Arabidopsis thaliana: one gene and its partners. The protein of the gene in region 3 interacts with the protein of the main gene of each other region in a pairwise test. Each region holds a gene or a part of one and is shown on either strand. Other genes may lie near its edges.

Region 1 (7,292 bases), on a different chromosome or scaffold from region 3:
GAATAGGCGTAACAAAGCTACCTGAAAGTAGTTAACTATAATTCGTTTTAGTATGTTGGTATCATTTAAATAACTTTAAAACTTTCTCATGAAAAATAAAAAAATATTACTACTTGCTTAAGCTTCCTTTTGTTCCTAGTCAATAAATATGTCCCTAGGGAATTGGAACATTCCTCTTTTTCACATATCTTGGTAATCAAAACCCCATTTTTTGTTATGTTGTGACAGAGACTAGCTCTTAACTGACACTACAAATGATTTATGTTCATTGTTAATCTTACCATGTTAAGTTCACTAATTTGTATGTAACCGACGTACGTGAGATAATCTCTACTTCATGTTTCTACTGTGCTCTGTAACGGTTGTCTTTAACCAATATACATTGACTAAAATCCCAAAAAACAATACTATGCTCTAAAAATGGTTAAAGATTAGATGAATAAATGGAAAATAATAAAGATGTAGTATGAGATATGAAATAAATAAAAGTAATCCCCTCGTTATATATTTTGCATAATAGCAGAAGCATATTCTTCTATGAATGAATTTGTTTACTTTTCAGTGGGATGTTAGATAATGATTCCATTCTATTTAACGAATATGATTAGTTTTAGCAGAATATAGAATTTCACTCTTTATCTCTCTAGTTAGACAAGTATCCCCAATATCATTTACTCGTTCTTTTTATCAATATATATATATATATATATAAAAACTCATATTTTGTAGTGACGAAGAAACACGAAAATAGTAATATATAAACCGGTATAAAACCATATTCCATATATATATTTAAATTGTTGGGACAGAAATATATATAGATTGAGAAAGAGCAGAATATGTATTTGAAGTGTTGGTTGAGAGTTGAGACAAATTCTCCATACCAGCCAAAATTAAGGGGTTGGAAATCTCAAACCAAAAACTACGATTATAACATAAATGGTACTGTGCATATGTGACCTATAAATATTAGCTTAAAGCTACGTACTTGTTGCCAACCTGTCTTTGAATAATGTTGGATACAACTATTTTACAGGATCGACGGTTAATTAACTGAAGCATTAATGCATATTTTATGCATGTAATTAAGTAACTGTAGTGATCGAATGAAAAAGGTCATAACATGGCCACTAGGTATACATGTAGTATTTTTAAAACACTAGAAACTGTATGAACGCTAAATAGTTTAAAAATTGCCCATGTTGTTTTCCTAGATGGTAAGACTCGAGATCGCTTAGACGGCCCTGTCGTAATTAAATAGCCAATTACACCAATCAATGGAATTTTCAACTGTAAGTACAAACGGCTAAAAAGACGTTCTAATCAGGCAAGTGGTTAACTACAAAATTTAGAACGATGCACGTTTTGATCAATATGTAAGCATATTCTTAACACCTTATATATAGATGGGTATATATGACAGTACTCTTAACACAATAACACCGTATAGATAGATAGATATGACACAGAAGTTGTGATCTTAAAAGGTATACTCGGCTAAAAGACGCTACAAGTACTCAAATGGTACGAATAATGAATTTAGATGCACAAAACGTATATATTGATCAATATGTATAATAATTTTCTAACCTTATAATGAATACTACATTGAGGTTGTTAAAAAGTTGAAAGAACTATATTATACTATGATTAAGGTAACGTATTGACGTATTGTAAAAATATTCAAATGAGCGCCTGAGATGTGCCCACATAATATTTCATCAAGAATACGCCGTGAAGCTCAAAATTCTTAAAAGAACAAACGAACTCATTATTGAATAGTCTAGACCTATATATCTATCAAATCGAGCTAATTATAATAATAGTTATAGGGTACAACACGAAACCCTAGCTATGAATAAAAGAAAGCCATATATGGAAAGGAATTTTCTAACATAACGAGACACATGCATTTCTCTAACATGTAACATCTACCGAAGATATGAGAAGAAAAGAAATAAACACGAGAAACCAAAATATGCATATCAACTAAACATTAAACACCAAATATCCCAAAGGAAAGACGACTCCACAAGATGATAAAAACACATAAATTTCCGGACATTAAAATTCAATTAAAAAGGTGGTCTTGAAGGTGTTCCAGCTCCCCATCCAAGCAAATGAGGATCACCAGAAAACCCATAACCACCCACATTACCTCCTAACTGTCCCTGACCGGTCACTCCAGACGGCGGAGATGCTGATGGAGCTTGTTGCATCTGCGGTGGCCCTCCTCCTCCTCCTCCTCCGCCACCACCACCTTCTTCTTCCTCCTCCTCAATCGGTAGTCTCTCGAAAACCGCATTTGAGAACGAAGCCGCCATTAGTATAACCGGAGCTGATGCAATAAGGGGAGCCACAACGCTTCCTCCGACCACCTGACCTTGCCCTCCGGCTAAAAATATAGACAAACCACCGGCACCAGGCGGTGCAGGAGGTGGCAAAACAGTCCCCGTTAGCGAAAGAATCTCAAACCTTCCATGTAAAGTCACAACTCCTCCTCCTCCGGACACACCACCGCCATTTCCAGGAGTGACTGGCTGACGGAGAGTGACGTTAGATACGGTGCCGTTTCCTCCTAAAACGGAGACGCCTCTCCCTCTCCTCCTAGCGTACGTGGAAACACTCTCAACTATGTCAGCTCCAGGAGATACTTCAAGAACGTGAGATCTAAGCGCGTTGGGGCTATCACGAGTTACTATGATCGGTGGCTTGGCTTTGTTCTTAGATCCTGGTGGACGTCCACGTGGACGTTTTCCCGGTGCTGAGCTTGATGTATTCGGGTCTGAATCGGGTCGACCCTGTTGATGATGATCTTTGTTTGAATGGTCAGATTCTCTTGAATCATCCGACGGTTGTTGTTGTTGTTGATGTTGCTGGTGCTGATGATGATGCTGGTCGATAAGATTGATCCCGCCCTGCGGTTGAAGCTGTTGGTGGTGAATCTCCGGTCTAAAGAGGTTATGGAAGTATCTAGAAGCTCCACCGCCTTGCTCGTAACCGCCTTCCATCGCCGCCGCATCTACTAATTCCCTATCCCACCACTGCTTATTCGCCAGCTCAAATCAATTTCTCGATTCTTGATCCTGCTCGTTCATATATTGGTAGCTAGGTGAAGAAGAGCGTAAAGAGAGAAAAAGAAAACTCAGATCGAGAAGTCAAAACTCATGATTTTGAGGAAACAATAGCTAAAGCATTAAGGTGTGATCGGTTACGCAAGCCGACAAAATATAGAAACAGACCAAGAACAGAACTAAATTAAAGACGAAGCAAAAGATATAAAAAAGGTGACTTATGTTAAATGATCTCTCTCATGAAAGGTAAGAGGAAACCCTAGTTAGGTAGATTAATTAGGGCAAGAGAAAGAAGTAGCTTCTTCTTTGCATAGGAGTCGTATTTAGCGATTCTGATGTGCTATGGGAAAAAAAGGAGAGAGAAGCTTGAGATTCATGTGCGACTCTGCAATAAATTTTTGGTCCTCTCATTGAACGAGGAAAGTAAAAGCAAAGACATACACCGAGAATTTAGCGGAGAAACAGTCCCCTTTATTATATCATTAATATAATAATTATTATTTGAATAATATGTTCTTTTTTAAGTAAATTAATACTATTTATTACATATACACAAATGCCGACAAAAAAATTTATGTGTGTAAGTGGTTATCCTTACATAAGATCTACCAAAGAAAACTAGGGGTTCGTCGCAGTTTTTGTTTGGCTCCAATCGGATAATACAAAAGAAATTTAGAGAAGGAATTCTTATATTTGAAAGCATGAGATAAGATTAACAGAAGAGATAACATTTGGTCAATTTGTTTATCAGATACTATTATATACGAGCTAAAGAAAACGTATCATTTAACAAAAAAAAAAAAAAAAAAAAAATGTCAAGTGGAAGTTGGGTACACAAGGATTAAAACGAATCCTACATTCCCTTTAAGGCGCGTGGAGGTTATGTTTAAACAAAAGTTATTTGATAAATGTTATTATCATGTTACTAACTTATTTATGGTTTTAGTAACTTAATTAAAAGGTTTTCGTATAAGTAAAAATGAGAAATAGTACTATTTAGTCTTCTCTTACTTGAGAAAATACTACTATAGGTCATTTTATTTAGAATTTTAATTTACTTACGCATCTTTTTATTGTAAAACTTAGTATAAACTTGCATTATTACTAGATATTTGTAGGCTTGTGATTTGCATAGTGCTGCTGATATATGTTATTATTCATATTCAAACTGGATGCAGAACGTGAGTTATATAGAAGAAGAAAAGAAAAAAAATTTACATGTATAGTATTATTATTAGTTTTGTCAACTAATTTTGTAAAAATATAATGTATAATAATTTAAAATAGATATATAGTATATGGCTTGCGAATACAATATTCTAAGAAGAACCCACGTTCTATAATAAACAAACGGATACGAACCATCTTTACTATAGAAAAAGAAGAAGAGAATTAGTCACTTTTAAGCGCTGCAGAACAACAATTGATTAATTCTGCTTGTGATGTGTTTTTTTTTTTTTTTGGTTGCTACTAAATTATCTTGCTAAACCCGAGCTAATTATATATCAAAGAATCAATGTTCTACTAAAGTACTTTATATTCACTTTTATTGTCAAGAGGGCATAAGGCGCATAACGTAGAACAATCAATCTAGGTAATGGTCCTTTGTTCTATACTGAGATAGTGAGATCTACCCATGTATACTCCTTTAAATATCGTAAAACGGAGTGGACCCTTTTTGATGATAAGTTTGGAGAAAGTTAATGATCCATTAATGTGATAAGACTAGCTGATAATTATCAAAATGTCAAATTAGTTGATACTACTACTTTATATTTTCAAAAATTATTGATAAGTACTCCACTTTGTTGCCTTATGTCGAATTTGGTGAATCACTAATTAGAACTACGCTTTTTCTAACATGGACAAAAAAATATACCAGAAAAAGACAACTAGACACTGATAATTTATTGATTTAGAATGAGTAATGTATTAGTAAAATTTTTTTTTGATATATCATCTTCATACAAATGATATCAAACTTTTAATTTACAAAAATTGTTTGGGAAACAAACGATAATCCTGAAAACACTTACCAATTGCATCAACCCATTCAAATAATTATTGACTTATTCATCTTAATTTATTGAACTGACTAAACTCGATCCGACCCATTAATGCATGACCTCATATCGGACCGTGACTGGTTGTCTTAATTTTTAACTGCACCCATATAGTAACACCTAAGCTCCCTCAACGTGGACGCATGTGGCCTGAACCATGGTGGGACCAATCTCAGTAGGAAAGTAGGAAGTGGATCGGAACCGTCCATCCTCATGGCATGTGGGACCCAGGAACCGTCGTTTTCATCGGCGTAACCTGGCGAGTCAGGGCTCGGTGCAATGTACTTGAACCGGACACGTTAGCTTGGTCCGCACGTGCACAGACAAAAGTCACGTGCGGTCAAAAGGTCAGAGCATGAAAGTGAAAGCCAAGCTGTGTGACCACGTGGAGGCGGTCGGATCATCGGTACTTGGTCAATACCTTATCCAATCACAGTACTCCTCCCGAATCTATCTAACTTACTTTCGCGTCTTTTGCCCGTATTTCTAATGCTTAAAAGCAAAAACGTACGTGAAGTCTTTTGTGTGCGGTATTTTAATCATAAACTGGTCCAATTTTTTTCTATCGATCGAAAACGGAATGTGTGGAACTATCAAGATACTTCGAAAATAAGTGAGATATGTTTTATTTGCCCCCAAAACAGAAAAGTGAGAGGTGTTTCATGTGATATATAATTTAATTTTAAGCCATAAAGAGAGAGAACTACACGTCATCCAAGTCTATAAATATGTGACTGTACCTAAGTTCTTATGACGCTGTCGCTACTCGTCTAGATCATGAACACATTTCTCTCACATTAATTAAAGATTATATATGTATTAATGAATTCAGACGTCCAGTTACTGTCGCGTGGAATTCAATGTTAGAGAACTCATTAGAGAAAACTAAGTTAAGTTCTTGGTATCCATAAGAGTTTATATATTTACCAAACATGGAATAAAAGCAGTTCTAAATTGTTCCGACAAACACGTAAACTGATCAAAACATATATATATTTTTTTTTTTTCCCAACGACCAAAATATCTCGTAAGGATGCAGTAGATATGTGAGGTTCGGAGGCACTAAAGAATATCAATTTGGTTTCGGTTCATAATTGATCCCTTGATGATCTTGTAGCTGTTATTGTTCTTCTTTTTATTGTGGCTAGCTATTGCTTCTTCAGCCTACGCCCCTACTCCATATATGTATCTCCCCAGTCTGCTCTCATGCGATCACGAAAGGGTATCTCTTTTAGGGAAATCCAACAACTGGTGAATAAAATGCTGGCTCTTTATATCTAGAAAAAAAAACATCAAACAAAAAGTAAAGGTCGTGAGACTAAATATCATACCCTCTTTAACAATAAATAATATGGGCAAAAAATTGTGATGATTTAGGGATACCGTACCCATCAATCAGTATGCTAATTTAACTTCTATATTTATGTTCTTTTGTTTTTTTTGCTTTCTTTTCTCATCAATCAAAATACCACGAGCCAGATGTATATAAGATATTAATGCCATCCTTAAAGTTTATACTTACATAGCGATTCTATTCTCTACAGCACCTTTAAATTTTGTTTTTATAGTTTTGAAAGTGTAAGCAATGAGTTCGCTGTATATAAAATGAAAAAAAAAATCTAGCTAGTCTTGAACTCTCAGTTCTCATTAATTTTATGTACGTTAGTTAAAAAGTATTGATTTATCAATTCGTGGCTTTTTTTAAACCAAGTAAAGAACATGTATTATAACGAGTTTCTAACTCAGCTAAGTTTGATTATATTTTCTCCAAAAACTCGAACATCAATCGGGTGAAGACTTTCCCCCTTCTATCAGGAATTCAGAATTTAATTTACTAAATATCATACTTTGGAAATATTATTCATTGATAGTTCATAGTTGATAATGAATATATGGATGCATAAAATCCTTAGATAAGAAAACAATCAACAAGTCTAATCGAGCTCTTTATATCAAATTATCAATCAAATCATACTTTTTAGTTTGTCGCACGGAATCTAACATGCCCCGCATGTTAGCTTTGTACAAGAAGAAATACGTAACGATGAGTTGCACATTATTAGAGTAAATTAAATTGCTTTAGTTAAAATATTTGGCAATGATCTTCTGATAAAGTGGATAGATGAAAACGCCCCTGATATTCTTTTCTATTTTT
Region 2 (7,690 bases), 7.6 Mb from region 3:
TCTCTGACTCTGAACAGTGTGGAACAAGTTCCAGAACCTATGGAAATCGATGTAGATGGAAGATCTATTTCTGGAAAAGAAGATTTTGAAAGTATACGGGAAGATGGAGAACTTCCCTCTTTGGTCACGGCGGCTGCTTCGTTAACCAGTTCCAATCATACCCCATCGAAAGTATCTAATCAAGCACGGTCAAGGCAGTTGGCCTTGATGACAAAGAATCTAGATTCTCCGATTAGCAAAGGAAAGTCCCCAAGTTTCAAGAAATACGAAGATGATTTGGATCTTGTTCTGGACGATGATAGTGAAATAGATGAGCCAACCGGAAGAACTGAGGCGCATGTGGAAGAGTTATGCCCTGAGAAAGCTGATAATTCATGGGTGGATTATGGTTCGAGAGAGTTTGCGCTTGTGTTCTCCAGGAAAACAGATGGCGGAAAGTTGTGGAAGTTAGAAGCAATGGTAACTTCTAAAACACTATCTTCTAATACGGTATCTTCCCTATATCTTTTTCTTTCTTAAGTGTTAAATCGAGTTGTATTGGCAGGTACAAATTAGCATGGAGTATCCTCTTCGACCTCCTTTGTTTTCTCTGTCTCTCCACGCATCTTCTTCATCAGGAAATGAAAATGGGACAAATGAAAGTGACCATTACAATGAACTTCGAGCAATGGAAGCAGAAGTAAGTGTCAAACCCAGTAACATATACTAATCTTTACTCGATGACACCAAAGATAACGCCTTTGTAACCTTTTCGTGGCGGTATCAGGTGAACCTTCATATGTTGAAGATTATTCCTTCAGATCAAGAAAACTATCTCCTATCTCATCAAATCAGATGCTTAGCAATGTTGTTCGACTATTACGTGGATGACCCATCTCCAGATTCCAAAAGAGGAACAGCCACAACTGTGGTTGATGTCGGTTTGTGCAAGCCTGTTGACGGTAAGCTTCTTGTGAGATCATTCAGAGGCAGAGATCACCGGAAAATGATCTCATGGAAGGGCAGAGGATGTGCATCGGGTTATCCATGCTAGAGATTACATCGCCACTCACTTCTCTATATTATCTTTCTCTGGTGGTACAAGCAAAAGTTTTTGCATGTAACATTTTTTTATCGTATAAACCGTTATTGAAACAGCCTACTTGTTGGGTGAGGACCTGGTCTGTTTTAAACCTGGCAATGTTTCAAGTCCAATCCGTTTTAGCCTGCTCTGTTTTGGTCTCGATTTAAGCATTAAAGCCTAGCGGGTAGCTTGGAAACTAGAAAAGTGAAAAAGGGCTCGTCACAGGTTTTGGAGAAAAAAAAAGGAATCAACTCGTAGACAACCGTTATTACAGGTTGCTACTGCAATCATTGACAAATGTTGTTCCTGCAATTGGAGGTAGTGAAGAAAACAAAACCAAATCAAATTGGATATTAGTTTATAACTTTCAAGTGATTATATAGTTTGATTTACTTTAACTTTTAGTTTTTTTGTCATCTTATTTAAGTACAATTACCAAGGAAATATGCAAGTTTGAATTACAAGAGCGGGCGGAAAATAAATACATCCCAAAAACTTAATCCAAAAGAAGGAAGCGAATCCCTAAATTACAGGAAAACTGTCAAACGTAAATTTTTACATATCAAAAAGACAAAGCAAAATCAAAGGCATGAACGAAGACCTAAGAGGAACCACGATTTGCTAAATTCACTCCCATGTCCCAGGAAGAACAAAGCCAACCACAAAAGACAGTGAAATTTTTCGTGTTTTGTTGCAAATGAATCAACACTGAATTTTTTTGATTTATTATAGGAGTTATTTTTGTATATTGCAAATGAATCAATAGTGAAAAAATTTAGCAGCAATTATTGAGCCTATAATATAATTTTATAGTTTTATGGTTGAGATTAGTATGACATTGTTTTCTAAAGCCAAAATAATAATATTTAATAGTAGTATTTTCTGGCTCCAATAAAAATAAGTTTTGGATTTTCCCCTAGACCATGAGAATTCGATCTTTAGGACATTATCAAATGGGTTTAAGAATAAGATGTCTAATAAATAGCTTATTTGGTCAAAAATATACGAAAACAAAACATGATGAACAAAATAAACTCATCATCATCCTCCAACTCGGGTTTCATTGATTCACTTGATGTCCGATTTCGTTCTCCTCAGCTTTCTCTCCGGTCGTTCATGAAGGCTAATCATTCCCTTCACGTATTATTTAGATATACAAAAAGTTAGAACAAGGTTCTCAAGTTTTTAATTGATGTACGGTTGAGGAAATAAGATTGGAATAAATAGATTACTGGTTCCATTTGTCTTTTCCGCAACTCTACATGTTGTTTTAGTAGCTCTTCATAATCTTTCTTTAAGTTTTCAAGTTCAACTTCAACCTCCATAGTTTGAGCCTAGAGAGCAAAAATGAGCAGTTTGGTACTTATAAAACACAATCAATCAAGATGGATAGATAATATATATATATATATATAACATTTTCTTACTTGCTTTCGAGCCCGTGATCTCGCTGCGGATTCTCGGTTCTTAATCTTTCTCCTAAGCTTTTTGTCAACGAATTGTTTTTCCGCGGTAATTTCACTATTAATCTTCCCACCTCTTGTACTAGTACTACCATTACTAATGTATGGAGATGGTGAGAGTAATGAAGACTCACCGTTAATCTTTTGTTTCCCATTTAATGTTGGAAATGGGGTAACCGGTGAACATGTTATGGCTTCACTTGGAATTGTCGCAACACTTGGGACCAAGCTTCTCTTCGTATCTTGGAGACTTTGGTTACCAGATCCCAAGGAACCATTTGAGAATCGGATTTGTTTTCCATAAGAATAACCATTTGGCATAGACATGATAGATTGTTGTGGTTGATATGTTGACATAGATCCATTCACATTTTGATGCAAATAAGAATCATGACTCCTTGGAACCATATTGTTCATAAAATCAGAAACCATGGCTTTTGGCTGAATCTGAACACCCAAACTAGTGTGTGGATTACCGGAAATCGATGACGATGAGTCATGAATGGAGCCACCATTGGTATTACCTCCTCTTGCTCCAGCACGGATGAAAAACTCTTCAAGAGTGATTTCCCCTAAGGTTTGTTGTCCCTGAAGATGAGTAATGTTTGTTACTCCTCCATTGTTATTGGTGTGTTTTTCCTCTGTGATAGATTTCCAAACTTCACCAACATTTTGTTTGCTAAGTGTTGGAGGCAGAGTAGTTGAGCCTTGCCTCTGCGACCCCTCTTGTGTTTCTTCAGCACTTGATATATGCTTAACCAACTCATCCATGTTCATTGATCCACAATCTAACCCTAAGCTGGTCTGAAACTGATCTACTGTCCATGAGTATATTGATCCTTGTCGGCTTAAAGAAGTACTAACTGGCAAATCATTCACCAAGTTTTTAAGTCTCCAGTAACTATCCATTTCACCTGACACAAATCCGAGTGATTAGTGGCCTTAGAAAACAGTTGTTGAAATGTAAGAGCTTTTGAGGTTAAAAATCATGCAAAACAGAGGAAAGGAGAAATTTTAAAACAGAGGGAGAGAGAAATGATCAAGAAAAATATTCATTTTGTTTCTCATAAGTTTTTTTTTTTTTTGGATTAAAAGTTTCTCATAAGTTTCAGTGAACCAAAAGAGTAATTGAATATATAAGAAAACTAATGTATGGCAATTAACCCAAAATAAAATAAAATAATAAATCTAAGCTGAGTTAAGCACATTATCCAAATGAAGTAAGAAAAATCTAGAATAAAAGGGATCTAATAAAACAACAATTTGTATAAATAAAAAACACTATATAAGGAGCAAATAATTTATTTTACCTTTCTCACTTAGTGTATCTATCTAGTAATTGAAAGTTAACTTTTTAAATATAAGAAAGATCTAGATGAGTTGATAATTTTAAATATATTTTTTTACATTTTTGTATAGATATTTTTCATAAGTATTTATTTATATTTAAATTAATTTAATTAAATAATAAAATTTTAAAATGATTAGATTATTAATAAAAATTACACAATGCTGTTGTAAACAACATGCATTATTGCATTATGTAGATTTGAACGTCGGTAACTATCCAAAGATAATATTTATAAAATTAGTAAATTGATATGATGTATTTCATGGTAATTAATCTACTGAATCAAAATCGCACCACACAAATGAATTCATGGAAAACTATCCTTTTGACTTGATAATAGGTTAGCGGGTGGTTCTCTTTTTAGAAATTTAGACCATGAATGGCTTTAATTTGTAACTTTAACTGATGTTTGGCTTTTGGTTTACATATTTTCTTGTTTTTTTTTTTGGAGTTTTTGTTAATGATACAATAACTAAGGAAAAGAAGATAAAAAGGGTGGACTATAGGTTTTTTATAGGTGGTGTTGCACGATAAAATATTTTAAATTTTTATAAAATTTACTAAAGAATTTGAACTCAAAATGATGTATATTATAAAATACTATGAAAAAATATAAAAACATAAGATTAAAATTATCTGCTAAAGGTGAAATCAAAGTTTATGACACAGAGACATGACTCTAATAGATTGAGACAACCTTGAAAATATGTTTTTAACCATAACTAATATAAGATACATTTACGAAGAATATGGTAAATGGACGTAACCCTCAAAAGCATTTAACGAGACTATATTAGCAGTAGAACAACATCATAGTGAAAGATGTGATCCTAATTGAAAACATATCGAATGAAGAGTTATAATGATTAAGAAAACGTTTGACAAAAAGTCAAAAAGAAAAGAAAAGAAGAGTTACAATGATTTTACGCAAATTTTCAGTTTTTTTTTTACAATGGTAAATAAAAAATTTATTCAACAACAAATTATGATAAAGAGACACAAGACTAAGAAGCATTTATTGAGATTGAGTTAAATCCATGGACATGTTTAACAAATAATCAAAAGTAATAGTTATATTTAGGAAAAATATATATAAATATAAGTATAAACAGAAAGTATATATAACCAAACTGGACATAGTTATGACAGATGAGGAACGGCATCGAAGACATCTTAGCGCCTCGAATGTGTCTCAGGTTTATATAGGTGGAGTTGAATCTGTGCTTCACGTGTTTAGAGACTGTCCAGCTCAATTGGGGATTTGGGTCAGATTTGTGCCGCGAAGGAGGCAGCAGGGGTTCTTTTCGAAATCTCTGTTTGAATGGCTCTATGATAACTTGTGTGATAGGAGTAGCTGTGAGGATATACCGTGGTCCACCATTTTTGCGGTGATAATATGGTGGGGGTGGAAGTGGAGATGCAGTAATATATTTGGGGAGAACACGAAATGCAGGGACCGTGTGAAATTTGTTAAAGAGTGGGTTGTGGAAGTGTATAGAGCACATTTGGGTAACGCTTTGGTTGGAAGTACGCAACCTAGAGTTGAACGGCTGATTGGTTGGGTGCTTCCATGTGTGGGTTGGGTGAAAGTAAACACAGATGGGGCGTCTCGTGGAAATCCGGGGCTGGCTTCTGCAGGCGGAGTACTACGGGATTGTGAAGGAGCTTGGTGTGGTGGCTTTTCTCTAAATATAGGCCGATGCTCAGCTCAACATGCAGAGCTATGGGGAGTGTATTACGGATTGTATTTCGCATGGGAGAAGAAGGTGCCTCGAGTGGAGTTGGAGGTGGATTCAGAGGCGATAGTGGGTTTCCTCAAAACAGGGATTAGTGACTCTCATCCGCTGTCATTCCTGGTGCGGTTGTGCCACAACTTTCTACAGAAAGACTGGTTGGTCCGAATTGTTTACGTGTATAGAGAAGCTAATTGTCTTGCGGACGGATTAGCAAACTATACAATTTTGTTATCTTTAGGCTTTCATTCTTTTGATTTTGTTCCCGATGCGATGTCATCTTTGTTGAAGGAGGATACTCTTGGGTCTACTCAACTAAGGCGAGTTCGTTTGTAACTTTTCTTTAGTTTCTTAATAAATCACGGGAGGCAATTGTCTCCCGGTCACTTACCAAAAAAAGACTGGACATAATTTTATAAAAAAAATATCGAACAAAAAATTAATAATAAATATATACAATTTTTAAAATATTATAAAATAAAAATTTATTTAAGAAGAGTTAAGATAAAGATACGCATTCTTAAAATACTTAATTGTAATTTGTACACAACCATCTATAACGAAGAGTTGTGATAGGAAAATTAGAGCAAAAGTAAAACTTAAGGAGAAAAACAAAACCTTAACTGAAAATGTATAGATAAAAATTTATAAAAAAGAAATACAATTTTCTAAAATTTAAATTATTTCATATAATTAAAAGTCTTAAATAAATATTTTGCAAAGAGTTACAACAATCAATAAGCACTACGATAGAAGACATATTTACAATTTATTAATTTGTATATTCACATAATTACTCACCCTTCTCTTACAAGGTAGAGTAAATTATTTTTATTCAAACTCATCATTGGTGTAACCTTTCTTGAAAAGATGTATATCTATCTTAAACTAAAATTGAAGGAGTTTTCCTGTTTCTTAAGATTACTGAGTATTTAAGTATTTTTTATTATTTGGATAAGTTAAAATGGTTAAATGGGTAATTTATAATTCATAGAATCTTACATGGTAGAGTATATTGATCCAAACTGATCATTTGTATAACCTTTCTTGAAAATCATAGATCTATCTTAAAACTAAACTGTAAGCTTTTTTTTTACTTTTCAATTCCCTAAGATTATGTCTCCACTTTAATATTTTACCATTTCTCTTAAACAGAAAAATTGAATATACCTATTTATAAGTATTCAAAATTTATTTTTAGGTAGAATTTAGCGCAAAAGTTTATTAAACTTTACGTTTACAATCTCATTATTTAATATTCACGTGAATGAATATTTTGACATGGTAAATATAATATAACACTATAAATAATATATTTACATATGATGAAAAGAAGAATAATTTGATAAATTAGAAATTCACATAATACATGAAATAATCACATATTAATTCCACCCTAACTAGCTAAATGATAAAAATAAAATCATATAAATCAGTTCATAAAACAAAAAATGTCTCGGGAAAAAAAAAACACTCTTCCAAAAGAGACATGTAATAGTCAATTTATTTCTATTTTCATAATCATCGTTAATCCTCATTGCATGTGGTACAATTATTCTAATAAGAAAAGTGAATCGTCCCAATAAATAATCCTAAAATGCCGTCTTAAAAAAGGCAATCTATAAAATTATTTATAAATATCTAAGAATGAGTTGTCTACTTTCCATTGATTAAAAAGAGAAAATATCATAAACAAAAAAAAAAAGTCAGAGAAGTTAAACCAAAAGCAACAAAAAAGAAAAAAAGAAAGAATAATCAAGAGAGAGGAGAAGAGGACGGTGGAAGATATTTTGCAGTTGAAGAAAATATCTTTGATATTTTTTGTGTTTGAAATATCTAAAACCAAAAAGTTTCATCTCTTCATTCCGCCAAATTGACTGGTGATGACGTGGCAACTTTACCCACGTGTAAAAGCGTCTACAACTGTATCGTTTCTTTTGATATTTTGTTTCTCTCTTTCTCTCTGATATTTTTCATTTTCTTCTTCTTCTCTCTCTCTCTCCACAAAGATAAGCCAACAATGGTTGGTGATTACAGAGGACGCTTTAGTAGCCGTCGTTTCTCCGATGACTCTGACGAT
Region 3 (8,397 bases):
ACTGTTTGAAATTCGAATCCATTTCTCTTCGGACTTGTGTGATAACTGATTTCCTCCTACAATGGAGTTCCCGCCAAGAGCGTTTTATCCACGGAGATTCCAGGCCTCTCCGGCGCAATACACGGCGGAGGAAAGTGCTGCAGCAGTATCGGCGCCAGATCTCCGAGATAAGCTCGCGACACTGGTCGATCGCACCAAGAAAGTGAAAATGGCGTACCATCAACTCCAATCGCAGATCGCGTTCGGCCTTGTCGAAGTAAAGATAAATGCTCTTCTCTAGTTTGTTAGATTCGATTTCTAAGTAGATCTAAGCTTGATTCAAACGAATTTGAGAGAGGTAATCCTATTATCTGGTTTGGTAGATTCGAGCTTGATTTGAACGATTCCGAGTGTTGCGTACTCTTTAAATTGGTAGTTTCAAGCTTAATTTGAACAATTGTGGGTGTTGCAACGAATTTGATAGAGAATTTGATAATTTAAAGGCAGGTGAAGTTTTCGATTCTCTGGCGATCCCTTTGATGAAGTTGGTTGGGCTGAAAACGTCGGAGATGGAGAGTGAAGGGAGACACTCCGCCTTTATTTTCAATACTGTGAGTGATATCAATCATCTTCTTGTAGAATCATGAAATTGCAAATTTTCAGATCATTACTCTAATTTTCATCAGGAAAGGTATCATCATATGGATACTGCACGGTCTGGTGATCTGAACATTCAAATTCGCAGTTCAAAGGTAGTATAGTAGTATACATCATGATTCTTATAACATATGTATGCCTAGTTATAATGAAGACTGAACGTGAACCAATTGATATGATTCTGAAACTGTTATGTGTCTAGGCAAGTGTCATTCTGATGATTCTGTATATGTGTATCCCTTGTTCTACTATAGATGTGATGCGAAAAAAGCAATATGATTCTGAAATTGTAACGGGTCTTGTCAAGCTTCACTTTGGTGATTGCCTATTTAGTATGACTAATTTTACTAGATATTGAATGTGAAACCAAACAATGTGATCCTGAAACTGTAAAGCGTCTAGTCAAGTTTTAGTTTGGTGATTCCTTATACATGTATACCTAATTCTGGTATAGAGTGAATGCAGACTAATAAATATGATCATGAAACTGTGATGTGCCTAGTCAAGTTTCATTCTGGTGATTCGTTATTAATGTTTGGCTAGTTCTGCTATAGATTAATGAGAACCAATAGGGAATATAGTTTAGATGCTGTCTTCTCTACACTTTCTGTTTCAAATTTTAATCAATTGCATCACAAAGCTGTTTGGAAAACCATTTGTACCTTCATGTGGGTTTGGAGCTTGCAGTTAAATATATAATTCTGCCTACTTTGAGTGGATTTCTTCCTCAGAAGTTCATTTGAAGTATCATGATTTTGTAGGAAGAAAACTATGCTGCTAAAGCCGAAACAGCGGGGAAAGAGATCTTGCACAAGCATAAGGGGCAGCTGAGACAGTTAGTTCATATGCTTAAGCACATTGAAACACAGGTGAATTCACATCGGGAAGATATTCTGCAGATGGTTGACGATCGTAGAACCTTCTTCCAAGAATTCATCCAGAAGTCTCTTTATTACCTAAGCTCGGTTCACAGCCAAAACCATGACACTTTCCCTGTCACAGTGAAGCTCCTTCGCGTACTATTTAATAACATCAACGAGGTGCTTGGTTCAGTAGATACTGGAGTCAATGATTTTATGCAGGCTTTAGCAAAGAATATGTGTCACCCGATGACCAAGTACGTAGGCAACTTGGCTGCTGAAATAAAGCATGGCCCTTGTGTGCAACTGATGAATGTAGTGAATGAGATGGAGAGATCAAACTCAGATACAAGGAGAGAGCTACAAGATGCTAGAGAAAGGATTAGACTTGCAGAAGAGACAAAGATCAACGCTTTATCAAAGCTGAAAAAAGCTGAAGATCAAGTTCAGAGGATGACAACATCTGCCAAATTTCTTCTACCCGCGAGTCAGAAGAAACAAGCTGAACATTCTATTACCGGCAAGGTAAAATTTCGATAATGAGTTTTGTTTGTGAAAGCTCAAATGATTAAGTAAGCGCTAAAAGGGTTTTTGTTTCATCCTTTTGTCCATGTAGCGTATAGGCACAGAGGGAAGCCGAGAACACGAAGAGAAACTACTTTGGGAACTACTGAGCAAAAGGAGAAAGCAACAAGAGCCAGAGAGTCCAATGGGACCTAAAGAACTCATCAGACAATCAGACACAAAGCAGAAGACATTGGTGTACAATCGCCGAAGGACTAGGAGCCAAGCACTGTTAAGTTCTCAAACCGCACGCCCTGATGCTTTGATCCCACTTGGTTTGTCACCGTCTGCTAGAACAGTAACCTGGAGGTAAGTAAACTAAAGCACACGTCTCACTCATTGCATCAGAATCTATCTTCACTACGCTTTGAAAAACAATGAGATCCAGTAGCTTCTTTAACACTTAAGCACCTTAAATAAAATACTCGTTTATCTTGTCATTAGTTACACTTTAATAAGTCTTGGTAATTTCTTGAGATGGTGTTTCAACAGTCAGAAACAAAACGTCTTTGTTAGAGTTGCACCGAAACCTTTGTTTTGTATAACTATGGACCCTAGCTAATCCTGGTGACTATAATGATTAACCAACTTAACTTCTAATAAACACAATGATACATACAAACATTATATTTCTAACTACATTGCATAAATCGAACCATCTAATCTGTTATGTTACTGGATACATTGTATCAACCTATGCAAGAGTTTTCGAATGAAAAGTTGGGATGATCAAAGTTTAATTAATCTTCAAAAAATAAATAGTGGGGCCAAAATAGAATTTCTTGAAAAACTTGGGGGTTGTACTTCAATACCCACGTTTTATAAATAGTGGGCTTAACTTTTTACATGTAGGCCCAAATCATCTTCCGACGTCGGTTAGGGTTCTTGTTGATGATATCACCTGAAACTCTGAGTTTCTCTCTCCGCCTCCGTCATAGAACGCAGAACTGGGTGGATCACCGTGGTCGTCAAATTCCTAGCTCCTCGACTCCAAAAAAAAATCATAAACGTATTACCGTCTCTTGTTTTCCTCGTAAGGTTCTCAAAATCGATTATCTTCATTACACTCGACTTGTCTCTGTTTCGAATCCTACGTCGTGTTTTTCTTTTCAGTATTCGGTTACGAGAAATCTTAAACCGTACTTACATTTCAGGTATTATATCGGTCGAAGTCTCCAATCATCGGTCTGAGTAATCTCTGACAATGGTATGTGTAATTTCCCGACCGATTGTTTCTCTAGTTTCAAAGTCCACACTTTTTTTCTGATTAGAGCCAATTTTATTGAAATTTCTTAGAAGCTCATAAAAATTTACAAGTGAAATCATCACTAAAATATTGAGAACTGTTGCTTCTCCATGACCTTGGTTATTTGTAGAGATCCTTAAGTTGAGCTGGTTTTTGATTGAATATTGTTGCATAGGAAATTTTCTTTTTTATTAGTGTATCTTTCAACAAGAAATTGTTCTCAGTGATTGATTAACGTGTATTGAAATTTCTTGAGCATTTGTGTGCAAGGCTGCAAGAGTTTTGGCAAGTGTGATTGTGATGGGCTCTGGAATCATAGCCAGGGCTTGTACTCAGGCATATCGTCAGGCGCTTGCAAGTATGTCTTTTAATTACAATGTTCTTGTTTTCTTTCTGGGCAAGAATGAATTTATCAAAGATTCGTTGTATTGTGTGTGTGTAAGTGTAAGTTACTTTGCGAAATTGTTGATAAACATTGTTTGGAATGGTTTACAGATGCATCAAAAACCGGGGTTGCGCATGAAGCGACACAGACTATTAAGAGAGGGTTGACTATAGGTGAAGCAGAAGCTAGACAGATTCTTGGTGTAACTGAGAAATCATCTTGGGACGAGATTCTTAAGGTTTGTCTTCACACTTCACCCCGGGCTGGCTGTGCAAACGCGAATAGCGGTTTATAGTTTCTAGTTTCTACTGCTGATTGAAAAAAGAGACCCTTATTCTCATTGAGATTATATGTTATGTTTGTAGAAATACGACACGTTGTTCGAACGCAATGCGCAGAATGGAAGCTTCTATCTCCAATCTAAGGTCCATAGAGCTAAGGAATGCTTAGAGACTGCATACCAGAAGAGTACAACAACAAGCGCATGAACAAGCAATAAAACAATAGGAGCAAATCAGGAACATATCTTTTGATACAAGTTATAGTTTTAGGACAGAAGTTTGAAATTGAGTGGAGATAGCCGCAAAAGTTGAAATTGAGACAAGGTCGGTGATGGCCGGAATGCTGCCAGTAACCGACTCACCGGCGTTGTTAAAAGTCTTGTTATTTTGTTTAATAATATTGACTTTTCTAGTTCTTAGGTAAACTAGTTGAATTCTAGCATGTCTATTGAATTATCTGAGTTTGAAAAATCCGTCTACTTCATTTTAATTACCAAATATATTGATCACCAACAAAATCGTAGATAAAACGAACACGTTCCTATTAGTCTACGAAAAAATAGGACTTGCAATTTTTTTTTTTTTTTTTTTTTTTTCATAATTATACATCTTTAGTTATACTTTTTACGATTTTAGTCATGTAGATTCAAATACACTTTGGATTTAGTGGAATACTTCTGTATTTTATTTGATAGTCAACTAAATTGATAGAGTTGCACTAGCTAGTAGCTACTAAACCAAGTGGTGTCTGACTTTGAAGTCCAAGTCCAAGACTTCAAGTGGGTTTAAGAGCGTTTAGCAAAGTTGAATCGATGTCTATTACACGTCTAAGCCGATCCAAACGAGAATGAAGCTTTTTATATATTTTATGTCGAATTGTCGACCGCCGAATTTCGTGATCCACACACTACAATTAATGCTGATTTAGAAAGACTTTTAAAGTCAACTAAATATTACACTATCGATGGTATGAAAGTAGACTACATTAGTATTGCGTTAAAGACTGGTCAAACATCAACGGAACGTAGTTTTCTTTATGGTATTTAATTGCACCATAATCGATACTCTATATTTGCAATCTGTATAATGTATATCAACTATCTAATGCATTTTATCGTGCGTTGAAGTTCGAATCGGTGATGTTATGTTGTCATGTATGTAGGAGCCAAAAACCTCCAAGATATTAACCAAAAAAACAAGAAAACACGTTCAATAAATCTTAACGCGGAAGACAAAAATGACACTCAAAAACATTCAGGAAGCATATGATCATCTCAATTTTGACGGGAAATGTATCATTACTTCATCACAAGTAACTGATCAAATCTCCTAATTAATATCCCGAATGAGGAGAGGAAGAAGAATCCCCAAAGCGCCAGAATCTGGCATAATCTTGCTCTTCTTGTTGCCTAGAAGAGCCACCAGAAGACGAAGAAGTTGTAGCAGCAGTCGTAGTACTATTATCATGAGACATTGAATATCCGGTACCACTCCCATACCCACCGCCCAAATTAAAACTTAGCATATCACCACTACTCGCATCATGATAGTATTGATTATAGTTCGGTATACTTTGTGGTTCCATTTGTGGAATTTGGTTGGAGGAGTAATATGTAGAGTTACTTCCAAGCTGAACCCTCTCCGGGAAATTGAGTTTTGCTTTGCTTCCTTTGAACTTTAGGGCTGCTTCATCATAAGCTAAGGCCGCAGATTCAGCGGTTTCAAATGTCCCGAGCCACACACGTGCCGCCTTTTTTGGGTCTCGGATTTCAGCTGCCCACTTTCCCCATGGCCTTTGCCTTACACCTCTATAATGTCTCCTCCTCAAGTCCCCTTTATTGAAATCACAAAAGTTGAAATCAGAAAATCTTTGGTATGGTCTACTCATACATGTGCATAGTATGTAAACTTTGTATATGCTCATAGTTTATGTGTATAAATATATATCGTCACCTAATATTGGTGCTGAAACCATATACTACCAACAAAATCTCCATGTTAAAAATTACATTTTGGTAATAGCCTAATCGTTTTTTCTTTTGGTAAATGAGTATTGAAATAAACAGTATAATAATAACCTTTTAAGTTTGAGATTTACTTCTGATATGAAATTTGCACATAATTTCAATATATCCTAACATTGTTTCAACCAAAAAAGATTCAAAGATCGATATGAGCATGTATATATATACCTTGGTCTTGATGAGTAGGCGCAACTTGTTGATTAGGGTCTTGTGGATTATACACAGAAGGATAGTTATCATCAATAGAGCTGATGTTATCATGAGATTTGCTTTGTTGGTTTCCGATTACTTGAGTCAAGGCCGAGACCATAACACGCATGTCGTGTTGAGATCGGGCCGAGAAGACCGGGAACAAGTTCTCATCTTCTTCCCTTTCTTCAGATTCATCACCTCCAAAAGGCCTCTTCCCATACATCCGAGGATCTACTTTTGCTTGATTTTCTTTTAAATATAGCCTTTTCTTCCAAAAAAAAAATTTGATATAGGATTTATACAGTACTTTAGGGTTGTTCAGTTTTTCTTTATGGCATCGTTGAACATCAAGAACAAGAGGATGATAAGGAGAAGAAATTAGATTGAAGTAAATGAAGAAAGAGAGAGTAAAGTATTTTTTTGGGGGGGTTTAGCAATTTTCTGAGGCTTTTATAGAGGAATTCGTTCTACGTGTGAACATATGACCTAAAACAAATATGTTTTAAGTTTGATTTTTTTTTTTTTTTTCACATTCTTTCGTATTTAATAATTTCTTATATGTGTTTGTTTCTGTTATCGTATTTAAAAAATATGCTTGTACGACCAGTACGGATCAATGTTTTGTAATGAAGGCATGTATAATGAGAATGTTTGTTAAACTTTTCTTATTGAGGAAAGTGCATGTGTATTTAAATATCAAAAGAGAGGATATTTTATAAAGATTACTATAAAATACTACACGAGATGGGAAAACTAAACATGCAAAAGTGAAAAGAATAAAATAAAGAAGAGAGGAAAATTGCGCATGCATGTTCATGTTTTGTTTAATCATTTATTTTGTGTGAAAAGGGTTTAACACATTCATGGAATTGAGGGAAAGATATAGACTAATAGTGTTTTTTGTCTAAATTATAATTTAAACTATAAAAAGCACTGTCGTGGTCTTAGTTGTATATGTAATTTAAACCGACACATTGTTTTTTTCGTCAAAAATCGACCTGCATTCTCAAGAAAAAGGTATTAAGAAAATCTATAATATAATGTAAACCGACACCCTTGTTGTGGATCCAAACGTGAATTAAAAAGGAAATATGAGTTTGCGTACGTAAGAAGTGAACCTATTAATTTATTTAAAGACTGGTTGACTAAAATTTGCAACACAAAAGACGTTTTAAAAACCTCTAAATCCAAGTATCGTGTACACACTCGAATTGAGTTAAACAAAGTGATTATTGTTCTATGTCGTAGTATGATGAAATTGATTAAATGGTTAGTGTTACATTTTGTAGAAATTGTTTAAATTGCAAGTGTTAGGGTTGTGTACACGTTTCTACGTCCGAAAGGAGGTATTTAATTTTTACTCAATGGAGCTCTTGCCTATCTACATATTATAGGCTTGTATGTAAAAAATTTGACATTTGAAAAATTATTCACTCAAAAAAGTCAAGAGCTAACTAAGTTGACAGGTAAAGAAATTATGTACAATGTGTGACAAGTACGGATATAATAATGTAAGACTTGTAAATGTAATCCACAGCCAGTTTGACTAACTTGATCGATCATGTGTGTACTGCGTTGGTGTTAGGTTCAACTACCACTTCCCTAACCAGCTGTTTATTTATGTTTATGATCAAAATTTCTCTAAACTGTAGCTTTACTGTTAAATGTATTTGGTCTTCACTTTGGACACCCTCATCTAAATCTTAGATCACATGTGATACCTAACTATTCATTTATTTGACGGAAAATTTATAGTGTGATCAATAGCCATTTGTTCACGTTTTCAACATTTTGATAACATAATTTTATTATTTTCAATTATCCGCAAATAATGCAATATTCATTAAGAAAAAAAAATCATTGTTTTAGTTTTTAAGAAATGATTCTGATATATATGATACACATGTTTAAAAATATATTAAATTAACAAAATAACAACTATAAAAAAAAAATCTACAAAAAATTGTTTTTGGGAATTCTATGGTTATTATCAGTCTCTTACATAATTGATATAACAGTCTTTACCTTTTACTTTTTGGACACTTTCTCCATATGTCAAATCATTAGTTGAAAATGCAAAACAATATTCATCTGTAACTTGAATGTTTTTTTTTTTGTTGGACGTTCACTATTCTCTATCAATAGAAGAAATTAAGCTGCACAAAACAGATATCTTCAAATTCCAAGTATTGATGTAAAAGAAATCAAG

What was found. The genes of interacting proteins can lie anywhere in the genome.
Region 1: the proteins of AT5G61890 (region 3) and ESC interact in a two-hybrid assay, tested with the Arabidopsis thaliana proteins (one large-scale study listed by BioGRID).
Region 2: the proteins of AT5G61890 (region 3) and AT5G42910 interact in a two-hybrid assay, tested with the Arabidopsis thaliana proteins (one large-scale study listed by BioGRID).

Annotation. Positions count from the first base shown.
Region 1 is NC_003070.9:7,268,743-7,276,034, reverse strand, and holds ESC (Putative AT-hook DNA-binding family protein), read right to left. Parts: upstream 3,480-7,292; 5' UTR 3,012-3,479; coding exon 2,076-3,011; 3' UTR 1,963-2,075; downstream 1-1,962.
Region 2 is NC_003076.8:17,199,653-17,207,342, reverse strand, and holds AT5G42910 (Basic-leucine zipper (bZIP) transcription factor family protein), read right to left. Parts: upstream 3,602-7,690; 5' UTR 3,436-3,601; coding exon 2,491-3,435; intron 2,398-2,490; coding exon 2,296-2,397; intron 2,198-2,295; coding exon 2,132-2,197; 3' UTR 1,963-2,131; downstream 1-1,962. Other genes in the region: THO5 (THO complex, subunit 5), read left to right, coding at 1-459, 545-679, 767-1,033; AT5G42905 (Polynucleotidyl transferase, ribonuclease H-like superfamily protein), read left to right, coding at 5,020-5,768, 5,902-5,929; COR27 (cold regulated protein 27), read left to right, coding at 7,631-7,690. UniProt on the Arabidopsis thaliana protein: Could participate in abscisic acid-regulated gene expression.
Region 3 is NC_003076.8:24,847,334-24,855,730, forward strand, and holds AT5G61890 (Integrase-type DNA-binding superfamily protein), read right to left. Parts: upstream 6,609-8,397; 5' UTR 6,412-6,608; coding exon 6,165-6,411; intron 5,806-6,164; coding exon 5,306-5,805; 3' UTR 4,989-5,305; downstream 1-4,988. Other genes in the region: AT5G61865 (uncharacterized protein), read left to right, coding at 62-256, 483-590, 666-731, 1,398-2,021, 2,113-2,373; AT5G61880 (Protein Transporter, Pam16), read left to right, coding at 3,265-3,267, 3,577-3,664, 3,802-3,929, 4,057-4,179. UniProt on the Arabidopsis thaliana protein: Transcriptional regulator of cell proliferation and axillary bud outgrowth. Involved in maintaining the structure of the shoot apical meristem as well as plastochron and phyllotaxy.